Sus scrofa: one gene and its partner. The protein of the gene in region 2 binds, or shares a complex with, the protein of the main gene of each other region. Links are inferred from orthologs where the notes say so. Each region holds a gene or a part of one and is shown on either strand. Other genes may lie near its edges.

Region 1 (4,291 bases), on a different chromosome or scaffold from region 2:
CTGGCTTCAGAGCCAGAGGCTTGGGTGTAGGCCTGAGGAGGGGCTCTTCACCTGTCCACAGCCTCCCTCCCTTTGGGGCAGTGTCCCTCTGGGCCTCATGAAGCTGTTGGCCCCATCCAGTGAGCCAGGAACTTAGTCCTGCATGATCTCTGGAGCCATCTTGATTTCGCCTTTTGGCCTGTTGGTGTATTTTGGTGACACTTAGGGAAGCAGGAGGGGATAGCTGGAAGCAAAATATGGAATGGTAAGGCAGAACTTCCTGATGATAACCTCTTCTTGGCCATGGAGCAGGGCAGAGGTTTGGAGCTGGAGCTGAGGCCAGGACAGGCTGCTCTCTGTCTCTGGTGGTGTCTGCAGCGTGTGACTCAAGTCCAGCTAGGTCTGTGGGTCTTGAAGGCTGCAGTGCACCTCTGCTACTTACTCCTCACCCTGTCTCTTCTCTGTGCAGTCCACCTGGGGGTAAGCATCCAGTAGGCACTGGATAAGTGGATTTTTTCATCCATGGTTACCTTGGGCAGATGCAGAGGTGGGTCTGGGACCTCTCTGGCTTGAGGGAGAGAAGACTCCTTTAGAAAGGCAGGCACATGGCTCTGAATAGGTGAGCTGAAAGCAGAGCTGCCTGGGCTGTTCAGGTGACTGTAGAGGGACTGGCCCGGACCCTATGCAGGGGGTCATGGTGGGGTCATCAGGCTGCCTGCATAGCTGAGCACTAACTATGCATCTTGTGGGCAGAGATCCCTTAAAGCTGGTCTGACTGACTCTGCCTTCCCAACAGTGAGTCCTGGGCACGCAGGATGCTCCCCTCTCTTTCTGCTTGGGGAAGGGGACTTCTTAATTATATCCCCCTCCACTCACATGGAAATGAGTTTGGATTTTCTGAGCACACACCAGCTGGCTGGGGGGGAGGCAGCCCAGAAGGCTGCTGGCTGGGGAAGGGAGGAGAAAGGCGGGGAGGGAGCCAGGCCAAGATGAAAATTCCGTGTTCTCACAGCTGAGCAAGGATGGGGCTCTGAGTGCTCCCTACAGATTATCGACCTTCTGCCCAAAACCCACACCCCCTCCTTAGGGGAAAGCGTCTTGTTCCTTCTTATAGGCTCAGAGGAGCCGTGTCCACTCAGGTCAGCCCATCCTCTGAGAACCACAGCCTTCAGAGTCCACTTAGCTGATCATTATCGAGGTTGTCTGTTCCCTCAGGAGAGGTCCTCTCTGACTTCTAGGCCAATCCCTTCCTGGGGTGGGGGGAGTAAATCTAAGGCCTTGAGAGGGGACAGGACCTGGCGCCGATCACAGGAGACCACAAGTCTGTCTTGCTCCCCTTCCCCCAGGTTATCCCCGTGGAGTTGCCCAGGAAAGGGGTGTCGAAGATTCCCCTGACAGCGGTCACTGCTTTACCCCTAAGCCAGCGGGTGGGGAAGTCGGAGAGGGACGGGGGAGGGGCGGGGTGGGGTCAGGCGTTTGACTCCGCCTCCTCTCGTTGGATCTGCCTGCGGTCGGGCGCTGGCTCAGTCTCGGCTGCTCTCCGCCGTTGCTCCGGGGCCGCGGGATGACACCGCCTCCGCCCGGATGCGCCGCCCTCGGCGCCCCGCGCGCCCGCGTTCCCAGTCCGCAGGCTCGGTCCGGGCTCCCGCTGCGGCTGCTGCTGCTGCTGCTGCTGCCGCTCTGGACGGCCGCCGCCTCTCAAGGCCACTCGAAGAGCGGACCCCGCATCTCTGCTGTCTGGAAAGGTAGGTGGCGCCGCGCTTGCAGCGCGGCTCGAGATCCGATGCCGCGCGGGGCGGGTGCGGAGTGTGCAGCACTGGAGAGAGTGCGTGCGCGCGGCTATGCAGGTCCTGGGCTGTCCCCGCGGATAGCGTGTGGGTCTGGGTGAATGTGTGAGTGTGCCCGCTGCCACGCCGGAGCGGGCTGTGACGCTGCGGCGAGCGAGCGGCAAGGGCTGGAGCCCCGGCTAAGTCACTCCAAGTCCGCCCGCAGCCGGGAGCCGCAGCGCGGGGGTGCAGGGGGGAGGGAGAGGGCCCTTCTCTCGGCCCCGAGGCGCTCTCAGTCCTCCAGCGCTGAGGCCTCTGTGCAGAATCCTTTCTCCTGCCGGGACCCCCACCCAGCTCCTCTCTTTCTGAGCTATGGGCTCCGCTGTCGCGCAGGGCGCAGGCTGGGCCGGCAAGGGGGGCGCGGACCCTTTGCCGCCGCCGCTGCGCTCCGGCTGCGGGAACAAAGACCCCGCTGCCTGCCCCTGCCCCCGCCCCGGCCCCAAGCGCGGGCCGGGTAAAGGGGTGGGTACCCTGTAGTGAGCCGGGACGTGGCTCCGTGCGGAGGCTTCAGGCACCCCGGCGCTGCCTCTGCAATGCTGGGACCCGCCGCTCCCCCCTTGTCCGCACGTGGCAGTTGTCACCAGGAATCCGAGCCAGCATGGGGGGCAGTGCCAGTTGGGTGGGGCGCGGCCACTGGGACCCCCAGGTAGGGGATCTGGCAAGGGGCTGCAGCTTTTAGGCCCTGGTGGATATGTGAACTTGGGGGACCGAAGTCTCCCCAGGGGCGCCTCAGTTTAGATCACTGTACAATGGGTCAAAAAGCTGGCTGGGTAGGTTTTGAGGTTTTGTGTTGCAAGGGACTGAAGTTCCCTGCATTGCACAAAAATGCTTCCCCACCCCCAGGACGACTATGCTCTGTCCCCAAATTTGGCAGGTGCTGCAGCCCCCCTGTGGTGGTGGTGGACTGGCAGTGGGGGTGGGAATGGTAGGTCTGGTCTCTCTGGGAGCCTTTTGATGCCTGAGGCGGTTTGCAGGGATTGCAGGAGCCTGAGCATTATCTGGGGCAGGTATTCTTAGCAGAGAGAGAGGGGGAAAAAAAACCCAAAAATGAGTGTCCTGAGCTGCGGCTGCAGCAGAGAGACTATGACTCGCCCAAGGTCACTCTGCATTGTGTGAGCTCACAGTGCAGACAGGGGGCTCTGATCTGGCACAGGACCGGTGCTTGTTCTGGGTTAGAAAGTGAAGAAAGATTTAAGCAGTATTTTGATCATGAAGAGGGTACTCTGAGGGCCAGCCCAGCTACCCAGCCAGAGCTGATCCTTGTGGTAGTGGAGCAGGGCAGTTGGACCTCTGGCGATGCACCTACTCATGGTGGTCACTTGCAGACCCCTCAGTTAGACCAGCTCCAGGCTGGGCTTCTTCTGCCTTCTTGGCATTTGCTTTTTCTTCTTCCTCTTGGTTGTCTTGGACAGCACAGCATTTGTGCACTCTGGAGGGGATGAATGGCCATGTCTAAATGTTCTGGAATCTGCCCCTGTGCCAAACCCCTTGCATTTGGCTCTGCTCACCCCCATCCCCCAAGTCTTCCCAAGATACCCCTCCACACACAGATACTTAATGCACACCCACCTCTTAGCACTTAATGCTGCCTCCCCAGCTCGGGCACTTAGTCCCCACCCTGAGGCTATTTAAAGCTGCTTTCTGTCCTGTTACCCACTTTCCAAAGGGCTCTTTCTCCTGCATGCAGTCACCATTGTAGCCACACTGGCTGTGCCCTCTGCTTGGTAATGCACTCTTGACCCCCACTGGGGTCTTCCAGTCCCTCACCTGTCTTGTCCAAGGGTGTCTGTAGTCTTCTTCACTGGTGCCAGGCACCCCACTGGCCAAAGAGACCCTGCCGTCCACCTGTTCCCCAGGACCACCAGCTGGTAATGGTATGCCTAGCTGACAGCTGCCTCTTATTTCCTTTGGGATGACACATGGCAGTCAGACAGGAATGGGTTTGAGCAAGGCAAACCCAGGAGTTGGATGAGAGGAGGACCCTCCCAGCCTTGCTGTAGGCTGGTCCCTGTATACCAGTGGGTTGAGGGGATGGGATAGTGGCCTCCAGGAATGTCTAGATCAAGGATAGTGGTGGTTCTGGAGATGATTCTCCTTGAGGCCCAGATTGGGGTTTTAGTTATAAGTCAGGACAGGTGCGAGGACGAGTGGATATGAGGGATCGTCTCTATTATTTTCGGCTGCTTGGACCCCCTAAGTCCTAGAGAAAGATTAGATAAAGGAGTTCTGAGAGGGTCCCAACCTGCCTGAGGAGGTTGATGCCTCTCCAGCCTGATGAAGGCCTGGCCCAGGGCAGCTCTGGTCAGAGGGAGGGGTGCCCTTGAGCTCTGTACTTGTCTCTGACCCTCAGAGCTTGCCAGGGCTCTAGAGGTTGTCCCCTCAGGGTTGTCACTGCCACATGGGCCAGTCACAGATGTGACTGTGTGAGCCTGACCTCCTTGCAGCAGGTGAGGGTGGGGGTTGACATGCTTATGTAAATTGTGTAC
Region 2 (4,243 bases):
CTGTGGGCCGCCGAGCTGTCTTGTCATTAACCCCAGAGACCAAGTCTGCCTAACGCTCGACACACAGTAATAGGTGGGGGGACTTCCAAAGCTTTCACCAGTGAAGTCAAAGATGATGATTTTTTTTTTTTTTTTTTTTGCCAAACTCAAACTGTTAGTCAGGATCTTGCAAAGACAGATGTTAAATATTAAATTGTACTTGTATCTCAAGATGAAGTCATTTAGGGAGCATTACATGTTATTTACGCTTTCAAATTATTCTACCAGTAACCTAAAGGCGGGCATTACCTGTGTGCCCCAGCACACAACGGATGGGCGAGGAGGAAGAGGCCAATGGCCATTCTAAAGGGTCTTGGGAAAGACCTGTCTTTTCTTTCCGGATGACAGGGCTACTGTTTGCTCAGATGTGCTCTAGGGGGACGAGGTGGGGGGAGTGCTTTTCCACGCACTTAGTAATACACCTTGGAGCAAGCATCTATGCTTACACAACAACTGCATCAACAAAACACGTTTTTCCAAGTAGAGGCTCTCCCCCTTTCCTCTCTGAGGCATTTTATACCAAAACAATGGCAACACCTGTAGCGGTTAATTTCTGCTCTTGGATTTCTGTCCAGTTATAAAGGAGGCGCTCAGCAGGCTCTCCTCTCAGGAGCCATATGTGGAGTTGATGTGCCAGCAGCCTTGGAAGGAAAACGGCCTCGGAGAAGTGCACAATGGCTCCATAATCCCCATCAACTGGACCCTCTTGAACGGCCGCTTTATTTTCCAAAGAGACGCCAATCTCAAGAGTCAAGCTGTGTCTTCCCTGGAAACCCAGGGGAAACCTTTGCCATTTGCCTGGCTGGGTGGTGCCTCTGAGCCCCGCGATCTAGTCAGGCAATCTGGAGCCCGGAGACGATAACACCCCAACACTTTCTCTTGCTCGCCCCTCCAGGGTGAGGCTTTTTACCCACAAAGCCACCTCCGCCTGCCCAGCCTCTCCCCCCAGCTAGAGACCACAGCGCGCCCTCGGCAGAGCCACAGCCCCGCCCCCTCGCGCTGGGTCTCGCCGAGGGTTCGGTTCCCCCCAGCCTGAGCCTCTGGTTCCACCGACCCGTGTTGAGCAGGCTACCAACTCTCCGAGACTACACTGCATGTGTTCGGGGGGGGGGGGCACAAAGGCTGGGGTGTGGCAAGTCCTTTAGGTTCCATGGCTTCTCTGCCTAGGGCACCGCGTCTGGAAACCAGGTTGGGGAAAAGGGTCCAAACGACACGCCAACTAACACAGACCACACACACCTGAGGAAGCGATCAGGGACGGGCGGGGGAGCTGCCTGGAGAGGCTCAGACCCAAACAAGCGTTTGAACAAGGAGGGCAGTGGGCTGGAGTCAGCAGAGTTGTAGAGCCGAACTCCTACCCTCTCCACCTCCCTTCATGACACCATCTTTGGGGACCTCTGCTTTAGAGCCACCCGAGGTCTCGGAGACCACGCGAGAAGGGCCGTCGGGCTGCCCGCAGGCTGTGTAGATCAGAGCCCCGCGAAATGCCCACCCTCTCCCTCCCTCTCTGCCTCGCCGGCGGCTCAGCTGCCCGGGCGCTCCCCGAAGCGTCGCGGCCGGGGAACGGAGGGGGGCGGAGAGGCAAGACTTACGCAGTGGTTCTCGGCCTGGAAGTCCCAGCTGCAGGTTCTGGTGCGCGCCTGGATCTCACGCATCCTGAAGAGGCAGAGTGCCGTGGTGGCGGGGGAGCGCCTCTCCTGGCCCTCTCCGGTGGCCGCGCTGAACACGCCCGCCCAGACGTCCAGGGCCTCCACCAGGCTGGAGGAGAGCAGCAGGCGGCGGCCGTCGGGGTGGCCGTGGCCGCAGTCGAGGGCCGCCTGGCCCTGGAACAGCACCTCGTTGCTTTTGGCGATGCGCGCCATGCTGGGCCAGCCGGTGGCGGCGCCGCTCGTGTAGTTGTAGGGGTAGTAAGGGAAGTAGACGCTGCCGTTCCAGAGGAAGGCGTCCACGAAGTGCAGGCTGCCCCCGCCCTCGCGCAGCCTGAGGCGTCCCAGCTCCTGCGTGGCCAGGCTGCGCCCCTCCGTGTCCTTGAGCGCGATGGCCATTCCGCGGTCGGACGCTGCGGGGTTGCAGCGGCTCGCCGTCTCGGGCTCGGGCAGCACGTAGGTGGCGGCCACTGCCAGGTACCAGCGGTTCTGCGGGCCCGCGCGGTACACGACGCCGGCCGTCGAGCCCTGCGGGTGACACGACACCACCTCGGTGCCGTTGCGCAGGGAGCTGCGGCTAAGATTGCCCAGAGGTCGCACCTCGCAGGCGCCCCTGTCGAAGGTCCAGCCGGTGAGCAGCAGCCCCCCGAGGCCGGCCGCCCCCTCGCGGTAGGGCAGCAGCAGCTTGCTGAAGCTGCTCCCCGGCCGGGGCCGCGCGGGGGGCGTCAGCGGGACCGGCTCCGTGCAGTTCCCCGCTTGGTCCCGGTACAGGCGCGAGAGCCGGTGCTCCAGGCTGTAGTCCAGCTGGTCCAGGCAGCTGCCGCTCGCCACGAACACGCCGTCCGCCCGGCTCGCCGCGATGGCTCCGATGGCTTGCTCCGACCGCCACACGGGCTCGTCCGCGCCCCGGCCGGGCGCCGCGAGCGCCAGCAGATAGGCTAGCAGGGGCAGCGGCGCGGCGCGGCGCGGGGGGCGCGGTGATGCCTTCCTCCGGGAGAGCTCCATGGGGCTGGGGGGGCCGCCCCCGGGCAGGGCGCGCGGCGGCGACCGCGGCGGCTCAGGCGCGCGGCGACGGAGACGCGGGCGGCGGCGGCGGCGGCTCCTGCGCGCGCTCGGGCTCCTGCGGCCGCCCCATCCCCGCGGCTCGCCGGGGAAAGGGAGCGGGGAGGGCGGCGCGCGGCGGGCTCGCTCCGGCAGCCTGTGTGGCAGCAGCAGCGGCGGCGGCGGCGGCGGCTGCAAGCCCTGCGCGCTCTGGCGCCGCTTCCTCCTCGCCCTCCTTCTCCGGAGAGTTCCTCTGTGCAGCGCTGGCGCTCGAGGGGAGGCGCGGAGGGGAAGGGAGGGGACGGGCGGAGGGGAGCGAGACAGCCGGGGAGGGCTGGAGAGGTTGGGTGCGCTTGAGCGTTTCACTTTCCCATTGTGAAAGTGGGATGCAACTGGCCCCCTTCCTCATCCTCTTCCTCCTCCGCCCTCCGCCTTCTGGCCGCCCGCCCTCCCTCCACGCCCATCTCCCCTCCCCTCTTGATTCGGTGAGATAGGGAGGAGGGAGGTCTCGTAATTTGGGTTACTGTGTAGGTGGCCTCTTTCATCTATTCATAACAAAGCTGAGCCGCCTGCCGCGGCCGCCACGGCCGCCACCATCGCCCCTCCGCCCGCCCGGGGCTCCCGGGGCGCGCTCACAGGGCACCGAGCTGGCTCCTGCGCCTGTCCGCCGCGGGGCTGCTCCAACGCTTGGGTTTTGTTTACGAGAGCAGCGGGGGAGGAATACGCCAGGCTCGGGGAACTAGGACCCAGGGCGCCAAGGGCTTGCAGCTGAGGCCCGGGGCTCGGGTCCCTGGGAAGCTGCGAGGGCGGCTGACAGGTGTGGAGCGGCGGGAGGGAGGCCCTGGGGAGGAGCGCGGGAGACGTGGACTAGCAGGAGGCTCAAGGGGCCGAGGCCCCCCCGGTGACAGGGGGTGGGTTTCCCCGAGTCAGAGGAGTGACGTGGAGGGAAGGCAGGCGCCAAGATTCTGGTTCTGGACAATCCCTGGGGCCGGAGCTCCCATATTTGAAAAGGGTCTCTCATCTCCCTTGGTAACGGAGTCCCAGGCTCTCAAACCTAGCGCTTAGAAAGTTCCACTCATCATCTAGCCTGAAGGATCATGGCTAATATTTATCGAGCACTTACTGCGTGCTGAGTCCTGCTGTAAATTCACCACATGGATTAAGCCTCATTTGCGACCCGTAATAACCCCATTCGTTACCATCGTCTCCATCTAGTAGTGAGCAGAATGATCATGCAGAGGTGATGGAACTTGCCGGGGGTCCCACCGCTGGTAAACAACAGAACTGAGATTCGAATTCCTATCTGGCTCCAGGCACGCTGACACCGCTCCCTCTAGCCAAGTGCCACCTGTGGTCGTTACAGTCTTACCTGCAGAGGATTCTCAGCAGGGGGGACTGAAAATTTCCCCAGGTGAAACGTTCCCATCTACCTCGCCCCGCCCAGCCTTCTAATCCTAAGAGTCAGGTACTGTTATTTCCCTAGGTTCCCCCCTCTGCTCCTTTCCCATTTTTTTCCT

The links.
Region 1: the proteins of PLXNC1 (region 2) and SEMA7A are in contact, whole or in part, in a crystal structure (PDB 3NVQ), measured with the Homo sapiens proteins. The link is inferred for Sus scrofa from reciprocal best matches to the Homo sapiens genes PLXNC1 and SEMA7A. Residues at the interface, in NP_005752.1 of Homo sapiens: Arg131, Thr151, Glu152, Val153, Asn195, Pro196, Ala197, Ala198, Ser199, Asp200, His201, Thr203, Ala206, Lys208, Arg213, Ser214, Leu215, Ala216, Thr217, Gln218, Glu219, Leu220, Arg222, Lys224, Glu272, Ala350, Ser352, His353; in NP_003603.1 of Homo sapiens: Gln194, Tyr196, Asn197, Gly198, Lys199, Arg202, Arg204, Tyr213, Ser215, Asp216, Thr217, Gln270, Gly271, Gly272, Glu273, Ser274, Ser275, Leu276, Val278, Ser279, Lys280, Pro372, Thr375, Glu376, Phe378, Gln379, Asp382, Arg383.

Annotation. Positions count from the first base shown.
Region 1 is NC_010449.5:59,093,428-59,097,718, forward strand, and holds the start of SEMA7A (semaphorin-7A), read left to right. Parts: upstream 1-1,491; 5' UTR 1,492-1,543; coding exon 1,544-1,724; intron 1,725-4,291. UniProt on the Homo sapiens protein: Plays an important role in integrin-mediated signaling and functions both in regulating cell migration and immune responses.
Region 2 is NC_010447.5:89,053,036-89,057,278, forward strand, and holds the start of PLXNC1 (plexin-C1), read right to left. Parts: upstream 2,803-4,243; 5' UTR 2,691-2,802; coding exon 1,632-2,690; intron 1-1,631.